Linked DNA regions of Arabidopsis thaliana. The protein of the gene in region 2 interacts with the protein of the main gene of each other region in a pairwise test. Each region holds a gene or a part of one and is shown on either strand. Other genes may lie near its edges.

Region 1 (5,821 bases), on a different chromosome or scaffold from region 2:
TTTCAGTTCTTGGGATCAACTTCTACAGTCTCTATAGCATTCATCTTTCCAGCTGCAATTGTCCTACGGTATGTTACCCTTTTTGGTTAATCCCTCTCATGTAATTCTGAATGAATAAAGTTTAAATCTTATCCATTGTTTTGGTGTTTTTGGAAACTGGCAGGAATGTAAATGGTTTCTCGACTTTAAGAGAGAAGATTGTAGCTTCAGTAATGCTTGTTCTTGCTGTTGCCACAAGTATCATCGCTATTTCGACAAATATATACACTTTCACAGCAACAGAAGAAACATGAAACGCTTTCTGGAGTCCTTTCTCTTCAAGGATTTGTTAGATGGTAGAGCTTGTGTTGCATTTATTCATGTCTATTGTATGTAAAATAGGTTTGTAAGAAGTGTATTATAATAGCAACTTCAGGAAAAATGTGTGTATAAGATTGAAGCAGAGTTTTAACTTTTAAGCACCAACACTCACTATGCTTTATGTCTCGTAAAATGACATTTAAGTACAAAATTTAACTTTTTGTTATTCAAAAGGATCTTTCCTTCACCAGTCTTTAGCTGATTCACGGGCAACGAACTAAAATACTTCATATAGAGATTAAGCAGAAAGATTGGTAGCAAAATCTTTTGTATTTTTTTCATAAACTCAAAATTTGACAACAGTAAAACAAACTTTATGTTAAAACACAAGATATATGAGTCGATTGAGACAGTCTTTGTTGTTGTTTTCTTCCAAAAGCTTTTCTCAAACAAGCTGCAGACAGTGAGAAGAGTTCCTAAAACCTGCACAAATCATGATCATAGTAAGAACTCAGTATATTCTTACGTTATTTCACTCTATGAGTCATTGCCGTAAAAAACTAACCTTCTAATCTGTTTTGAGGGAACAAGTATTCCTCGCTTCTCGAGGCTCTTGAATCGATCTCTTGCAAGAGTGCAACATGCCTTTTAAATAAAAAGGATGACATCTTCAGTTTTTTAGCTACCAAGAAATTCACAAGGACCAAAAACGTTGGTTTCAGGGAACAGGGAGTCATACCTTCAGCTTACGAAGTGACCCAGTCATCTCTTCTGTCAAGAGGACTTGAACTGGAGGAGCCTCAAATCTGAAACAAACAACAGTCAATATCCCAAAAATCCAATTTTCAGAACTACAAATATAATTGATCAGAATGAGTACACTAGTAAGCTTGAAAATATAACAGAAATGTATAGATGTAAAGAAGGATTTAGTTTCATACTTGTACTTTCCCAACCGAGGAGGACGTATCTTCAGCACTTCCTGCTTGGCGATGACCCTTCGTAAATGTTTATTCTGTTTATCCTCATCTTCTTTGGCTATTTCTTCTAAGATGTTGGGCAAGCTATAAAGGCAAAAACAGGAACGAAATAATTAAAACAAGATTTTGTCTAGGCGTGATTTTATAAGTAATCAGACATCATCAAGATATATTAAAATCACAAGATACCTGTCAATTTCGTTTAATATCTTCTCTTTAGCCTTTTCCTTTGTCTCTTTTTTTCGCAGTGCCTTTTGCCTACATCGCTTATTTAATTCCACACGGGTAACCCTCTTTGTTTTCCTTGAGACACTGCAGTACAATAATTTCAAAAACATGAGTATCCAACTTTTTGCTGAGGGAGTAAGTTAACAAATTACAATTTTATCTTAGACGATTTTATGTTGATATGTAAATAAGAGAGCTTCTTACTTGTTCCCAGCCTCTGACACTTCAATCTTAACATCTTTATTATCTTCACCTTCACCAACATTGCCCACTTCAAGAAAGTACTTCAGGTCTTCTGCAAGTAATTTGTTTTGTAACGGAAATGTTAATTCATGACATAGAAAAAGATAAGATTACGAAGAAACTAAAAAGTGGAATAATTGACTAAGCAAACCTTTAATATCATCACCCAACAAGTCCACCATTACAGAATCGTCACCAACACTCTGCAAAGAAGGGAGAAATCATATGAAGATAATCTCCCAAGGAAAAAGTTCGAGACAAAACATCTCATACATGTAAAAAAACATATCATCAAATTACTCACTTTTTGAGCTTGTCTAGGTGTTTTGTCTTCTATTTTCTTCAAGTTTGTATTTGAAGATGGCTTTAACTGGACAAATGGGTTCTCCTTTAATCTGCAGTATAAGAATTTCAAAAAACATGAAATCCAACTCTTTGCTGATGGAGTAAGTCAACAAATTATAATTTTCTCTTGGACAAATTTATGTTAACATGTAAATAAGAGAGCTTCTTACTTAATTCCAGCCTCTGACACTTCATTCTCAACGTTTTCATTATCTTCGCCTTCACTAAAATTGTCCACATCAAGAAAGTACCTCTGAGATGGTAAATACAACAGCCATATGGATTAAACTATCAAATTCAATGCTCATCTTTCCATCGATTATATTATAACATACAAGCAAAAGACTCACCTCATCTTCACTGAGTGTATCCCCTTCAATAGTCAAAGGAACAGGTGCAGGCCCTAACTCAGTTTTGTAAACTTTCTGCATTTCTTGAGCGACGGCTTCAGCCAACATATCCTGCAATACAGAAAAGAGGTGTGAATGCAAGATTCACACACAAGACTAGGATGATAAAACAAGCTCAAATCTGTGAGACTTAGTTCATAATAAATTATTACCTGGTGACTCTCAGTTGTAGGGTTGTATGAGCATCCTGGATGTTCAATTTCTACTGCTGAAATAATCGAAGGATTTTTGAAAATCTGTACACCAGACAAAAGTTCTTAGCCAACTGAGTAACTGTCTAACACCAACTAACATTTTCAATACAGAAACAACAAAAGCAAACAACTTAAGTACAGAAGACACATTACCTTTCTAGGATTGCTCTCATGTTCTCCTGCAAGTAAATATTTTGCAAACGGAAACGTTAATTCATGACATAGATAAGAAGAAAAAAAACTAAAAAGCAGAATAATTGACTAAGCAAACCTTTACTATCATCACCCCACAAGTCGGCCATTACAGAATCGTCACCAACACTCTGCAAAGAAAGGAGAAATCATATGAAATCAGATCCCTGAAATATCTTATAGATGTAAGAAATCATATCATCAAATGACTCACTTTTTGAACTTGTTTAGGTGCTTTGTCTTCTATAACGATTGTCTTCTTACTTTTCTTCAACTTTGGCTTTGAAGATGGCACTAACTGGACAAATGGATTCTTCTTTAAGATACTGTCAACACGGAGCACTCTCTCTCTATGTTTCTCAATCTTTCGCTTCACCGGAAGGTCTGATAAGCAAAATCAAATCAATATCAAATTCACAAAGCCTTCTTTCAAACATTAATAATACTCTTTTACTTCCTGAATACCAATCACATCATAAACATTCTCATAACTCCCATCAAATCTTAACAAGCAGCTAAATAACTAATCTTCATCAAATCTTACTCTGCTGATGCTAATGTATCGAAAAATTGAAACTTTGCAGCTGAAAAAGAGAGAGAGAAGTAAGAACAAACCATGGGATTTATCGACGTGGAACAAGTCTTCGCTGGGAGCAGCGGAGAGATTGCCACCGGAGAGAGCATCTCTGGTAGTTTTCTCGAAGAAATCTTCAATGTCCTCGGAGCTAATGTTAGCCCTCCATGCTTTTTTCCCTTTCCTTGATGTTTTCGACCTCTTCCCCATTTTTTCTCGTTATCTCTCGGCGGCGCGAAGGTTGCTGCTTCGGTATCGAAAAGATGATGATTGAAGAAGAGGACACACACTAGGGGTAGGGCTTAGAGAGAAACATAATGGGCCTTACGTTTCTCCATTTCCTCTTAATGGGCCCATATACTTTTTAATTCCTACGACGTACGTACATTCATTTTCCTTTCCACATATATTTAGTTTTGTTTTTTTTTCTTGGTTATATACTACTTTTTTTCATTTTGCAACAATAACACTTTTTCATACTCACAGAAAAACCATCAAAGTATTTAGTAAATAAAAAATAAAAAAAATCAAGTACATAAAACTAAAATTTTATCATAAAAAGATTAACACAGTATAAAATGTTATCATGTCTTACATGTTAGTGAAATAAAAAAATTGAAGTGATAACATTGATCATTACGGAAAATCGGACATCGTCTGATTCTAATGTAAATAAACAACATTGATCAATATGTTAAACTTGAGCATATATTTTGTTAACGTGAGTTCTCTCCCATTTTTGTGGGATTCCAACAAATAAGTTTTGGTTATAACTAGTTTATAATTAGGCATGCAAACGTCACGCATATATATGTACATGTAAGCATATGTAGTCATAACCTTAATGATAAACGCGTTTTTTTTTTTGTCTCAGCAGTATTCTATTTTGATATATATGAGGATGTAAATGATTGAACAATGTCTATTATTTGATCAAATACTATACAAAAAATATCGAGAGATAAGAAAAAAAACAAGTGATGTTTGATAGCATAAAGCCGCCCCCGTGACCTAATTCTCATTTGATTCTTTTGTCACATTCAAGAGGAGAGTGGGGTAGATCAAATTGCTAAACCCTGACTACAACATATTATTGTAAATTCTTCTTAAGATATGTTCAATATTATTTTGTCCTTTTGGTCTCTTCTAAATCCCACGTATGGTCCATCCGATATGTTATATCTTGGAGTTTAATTAATGAGTCGTCCTTAACATTGATGTGCCAACATGGAGAAGAAACAACGAGAGAGAAATATACGTGTTATAATGATGATGATCGTAATGAAAATCCTCTTTTTTTTTTTTTTTTGGACATTCAAACATGAGAATTATGATAATAAAATGGATATGATTGTATTCATACACCATATTGTCTTGAGTCTTGACAAACATGAATTATGTAACTTATGATACTTTCGACGGATTTTAAGGTTCTTGCGTTTTCTAATTTTTGTTTTTGTAAAAACCGTGTTTATATTTCTAAACATTTTACTTCTGCATACGTATTTACGATTCCATAGGACCATCATATTTTTTAGTTTTATTTTTATTTTTATTTTTTTCATTTGTGATTTTGTTTAAATATATATAATTGTAATGAATTTTAAAATGACGAAACATATGTGTATATAAGTACATATGCTTTTGTATTGTTCTGGATGTCCAAATTTATAACAAAATATAATATATTCAAATACGAACTTAAAAAAAAAAAATTGTGTGTGTATAAATGTAATGTTTGTAGAGAACAATCAAATGTTAGTTTGATGATGACATCACTTTTTCTCAAAAACAAGGTATAAATTCCGTTTTTTGGTAGTAATAACTAATACTATATTTTCGAAGAAAAACAAACCTTACTAATTTAATGCTACATATAAAAGATCAATTTTCGTTTTTAACAAAACTATGCTACTACAAAGTTTTTTTGGGTCAAATTCTTATATTAAGAAAAATCAAATTGCTAAAATTCATAACCATTTAGAAAATTTATGCCATATTTATACTAAAACTAGGACTAGGGATAATGGGTCGAGTGACCACTCTAAGTTATTGTATACTTAACTATTTATGTTAGCCTTAAATTTACAAGTACAATCAGAATCCTTTCCTAATATGTAGGAAACAAACCAATGACCGTTTTGCAAGTGGAACTACTGATTATGAGTGTACGAATATTGGATATTTTTTTTAAATTTTGCTTATAACATGATTTTATGTGCATATTGTAAAAACCAAAATGATACTAATCTCAATTTGTCTCGGGTAAATATATAATTACGGGGGGGGAGGGGGGGGGGAAGACAAAGGAGATATAGCTGTCACAAACACGAGACTCTTTTACGATTTCTTTTT
Region 2 (4,173 bases):
GTTTCGTGCATGAGAAGAGGACCTTTACATGACATTTCTTTGATAATTTTTTTGTTTTTAAATACTATTTTTAAGCTTTGAATAGTAATACGAAAATGCTAATCTCCTCTAAATTGAACAGATGTCGTTTTCTTTGTCATTCAATTCTTAACCAAAATCATTTTGCTTCTTTGAATGATTTATATGTTATTATTTATGAAACGAATAATAGATTATGGACTAGGTACTTGGTAGGGTCTTCTATTGAGATAGTGCATTTATTGAGAACAGATTCAGACATTGTATAGTTCCACAAAAGTGGAATCATAAACTATAATTGGAACCCTTGCAGGTAATTTACCAATAATATGATCTGCCTGCAAATTCGGATATTATTGCAAATTTTATCTGCCTCCAAATTCCGAAATTATTGCACTTCACAATTATAGAGATCCCCAATAATATATATAAGTACTTGTTTTGTTTCACAGTTCTAAAAATAGAATGATGATAATAATGGTGACAATGATAACATTGATGATGATATGACTGGATTCTTAACAGACAAACGCAATGATATGAATACAGAGGGAGGAATGCATAATCTGTGAAGCTCATTAAAGGACATTATTCGAAAATACAGTGGTGGGCTCAAAGCGGATATCCTAAATAATTGATTGTTCTACAATCTCAGAACTAAGTGAATGCCCTGCAAAATTCAATCATCGAACATGACCTAAGGTAAATGCACAAGAACGGTTGCAGATCCTCAGTGTCAGAATCTATTATCTTTGACACACAAACACAATCATGTGATACATAGCAGATTAACGCATAAACTATGAAGCTCATTAACGGATACATAGCAGATTAAAGCATAAACTACGAAGCTCATTAACGGGCAAGTAGCAAACAGCAGTATCTATGATGCAAATAAGGAACATTCAACAAGATAAAGCATAAGATGAGTACCCACATAACAGAAGCAGGAAGCCAAGCAAAATCAATCATCATCTTCTTCAGTCTTTCCAGCACCGAAAGGGTCATGATTTGGCCCCACCTCTTCTCCCATATGGCGCTGCACAAGCCGCTGCAGATCAGACATAACCTTAGCCTCGCGCTTCGCCTTCTCCTCGTAGTTAAACATGGCCAATGCCCGTTTGTCTTCAGCACTGTAAACCTGGTTTTCTTTTCTAATACGAATAGCATTCATCCTTTGATGCCTACTTCCACTCATCACATAACCAAGATCCTCAAACTTCTGAATCTCTTCAGCGTTAAGACCCACTTCTCCTCTACGTGGGATACGTTTACCTTGCTGAACATACTGTGCAATGGCGTCTCCTTCACCGGGTCTTAAAGCACCACCATAACTGATGTGACCTTCAGCTTTAGGTAATGGCATTGGACCAACATCACCTTCTTCTTCCTCTTCATCAACAGCTGAAGATTTCTTCTTTAATTCAATCATCTCTTTGAACTTCTTCAACTCTTCTTCATCAAGTTCTAGCTCAGTGTTCTTCACCGTTTCGTCTACTTGCATCTTCGAATCTTCCTCAGTACCATCGCTGTCACTCCCTGACTTCGTCTTCTCTCCCTTGCTTCGTTTTGAACTAGAATCCGAAGATTTCTTCCGCCTCTTGCTCTTTGACTTGGTATCTTCTTCCTCCCCAGACGAAGAAGCACTAATCTCAGCTTTACTATCTTCATCGCTGCTCTCATCAGAGTCACTGTATTTCGTCTTTCTCCTATGACTTCGCTTTTTCCTAAAACTACGGCTGCTTCTACTCTTCTTCCTCTTAGAAGAACTCTTCCTCCTTCGTCTCCTATCTTCCTCTTCCGAATCACTCTCACTCCCTTCGGATTCACTATCGCTGTCATAAGATCTCTTTCTCCTGCGCTTAGACCTCGAGCTCTTACTCTTCCTCTTCCTAGATCTCAAACCATCAGATTCAGATTCCGAGTCAGATTTACCTTTCCTTTCTTTCCCTTTCGAATTATCATCTCTTTCGCCGCCGTTCTTGTCCTGAATCTCGTCGGCGTTCTCATCGGAATCCTCGTTCTGATCTCTAGGTGGACTCGGTGTGTTCTCCCAAAAGCAGAACTTGGCTGATTTCCTCATCTTAAGCCGTTTCTGCCTCCTATACTCTTCGTGACTCAATCCCTTCAATTCTTCATCGGAATCTGAACCAGATCGTCTTCCGTTTCGATAATCTCGATCCAAATAGCCATGATTCTTCCCAAATCTCCTCGGAAGCGAGTTCATCGTCATTCTCGAATCCCTAATTCACTCCGACGACGACAATGAAGAAAACAAAATCTAAGCAGCTGTCTGATAAATTAGGGCTTTGATTCATATACAGTATCTGCGCCTTTTTACTTATTGGGCCCTTAACGAATAGGCCCAATATTTATCATTATTCACCACTGAAAATCATGTTTTGATTTTACACAAAGCACCCCACATTTTAATTAGAGTCAATCGAGTCCTCTATCCTTATCGTCGTCTTCAGATGGCAAGTCTCTCCATGTCCGCCGTGTCTCTGTCGCCGTTTCGGCCTCAAACAGAGAATCTTCTTTCAAAACTCAGTTTCCGAACGAACTTACACTCGTTCAATCTCAAACCAATAAGGATTAGTACGAAAGTTAGAAGTTTTGGTGGGAATCGGAGAGAGCCGAAGGATTCAAGATTTGTCGATGAAAAAGGCGTAGTTGATGACATGGAAGGTTTCTTAGACAATCTCTCTCTCGAATACGACTCTGTTTGGGACACTAAACCCTCTTGGTAAATCTCATTTAAGTTCCCAACAATTTTATTTCAAGTAGTTTGGATTTGGTCCTAAGACTTATGAGGAATCGTATTTGTTGGTTGTGAATATGGGATTATAGCTTAGATAGAGTCTTAAGTTCACTTTTAAGTGGACCAATCCTTAATCTTTATTAGCATTTTCAGTGATTTATGCCTGCCCAAGAACTTTTTTGAATCATATATGAAGCTATATATTTATTGATGCTACTTAAAACAAGACTTACCCCATTACAGTTTCATGATTGTGTGTTGTGGTTTAGAAGATAGAAAGAAAAAGTTTGAATCTTTTGGTTAGGAAGATAGTGAAGAACCAAAATACAGATTATGTAATGGTAATTGGGTTAAGAAGGGTTTAACATTTCGACCTCAGCATCTACAGCTTTGAATATCTATTGATCTGGTGTGTATTTGCAATCAAGAACTTTACGGTTCTTCTTAGACGTTTTCAGGGCCTAGTGTTCTTCCGTATGGTTTTGAATAAGCAACTGGCTATGTTTCTCAGGTGTCAGCCATGGACGATAATGTTAACGGGTCTATCAATAGTGGCATGTAGCTGGGTAATACTACACTCGGTCATAGTTTCATCGCTTGCGGTTGGTGTAATTGGTGCTTGGTGGTACATATTCCTTTATAGCTACCCAAAGGTATGATTTTCCCTTCCATCATCTAACAACCTCTCCTTTTCATTCCCTTACTAAAGAAATGTTCGTAGCTCTAATTTACTAAGTCTAAGTTAAAGTAAAAATCCTGTTTAAACATCTTCAGACAATGCTAGTTTCTATAATCTTAGTGAACAAGACTTTACTTTGGTCTTGTCTTTGAGATTCTGGTGGTTTTTTCGTGTACTTTGGTTCAGTCGTATTCAGAAATGATTGCTGAAAGAAGGAAACGAGTAGCTGATGGTTTTGAAGATATTTACGGCAAAAACAAGCCTTCATAGGATCTTCTCAATGTTCAAAATTACATTCGTTTCTTGCATAAATCTTCCCTTCTGTTGTGTGTATAATATAACCATCATCTATGGATTTATCTCAATTTCATTCACAGATGTTTGGATACATAAATCTTGATTTCAGAGTCCTCTAATGTAGTGGGCATTAAAATCGAATTGAACCGATTATACAAACCGAAATTAACCCAAATATACCGAAACCTCATTACTGAAACCAACCGAATAAAGTGCCTTCGAACTAAATAAACCAAACGAACCGGACCAATTTTAGTTCAACAAAATCGACAAATTCAAATCGAACCGAACCGAGCCGAAGAACCACCAATACGAGAAATGAGGAATGAAGGGTAAAAATGTAATTCCCAAGAGGTCATGGTCAACGGAATGTATATATATGTAACGGTGAGAGATTCATTGAGATCATCTCCACTCT

What was found. The genes of interacting proteins can lie anywhere in the genome.
Region 1: the proteins of AT4G02720 (region 2) and AT2G40430 interact in a two-hybrid assay, tested with the Arabidopsis thaliana proteins (one study listed by BioGRID).

What each region holds. Positions count from the first base shown.
Region 1 is NC_003071.7:16,878,690-16,884,510, forward strand, and holds AT2G40430 (Nop53 protein), read right to left. Parts: upstream 3,810-5,821; 5' UTR 3,677-3,809; coding exon 3,508-3,676; intron 3,277-3,507; coding exon 3,107-3,276; intron 3,024-3,106; coding exon 2,972-3,023; intron 2,880-2,971; coding exon 2,854-2,879; intron 2,743-2,853; coding exon 2,659-2,742; intron 2,558-2,658; coding exon 2,447-2,557; intron 2,350-2,446; coding exon 2,267-2,349; intron 2,147-2,266; coding exon 2,056-2,146; intron 1,955-2,055; coding exon 1,903-1,954; intron 1,804-1,902; coding exon 1,713-1,803; intron 1,593-1,712; coding exon 1,470-1,592; intron 1,365-1,469; coding exon 1,242-1,364; intron 1,107-1,241; coding exon 1,040-1,106; intron 946-1,039; coding exon 838-945; 3' UTR 784-837; coding exon of another isoform or gene 777-783; 3' UTR 527-776; downstream 1-526. Other genes in the region: AT2G40420 (Transmembrane amino acid transporter family protein), read left to right, coding at 1-68, 164-293. UniProt on the Arabidopsis thaliana protein: May play a role in ribosome biogenesis.
Region 2 is NC_003075.7:1,203,563-1,207,735, forward strand, and holds AT4G02720 (Ras-induced vulval development antagonist protein), read right to left. Parts: upstream 2,331-4,173; 5' UTR 2,252-2,330; coding exon 983-2,251; 3' UTR 527-982; downstream 1-526. Other genes in the region: AT4G02725 (spindle pole body-associated protein), read left to right, coding at 2,493-2,764, 3,291-3,432, 3,645-3,728.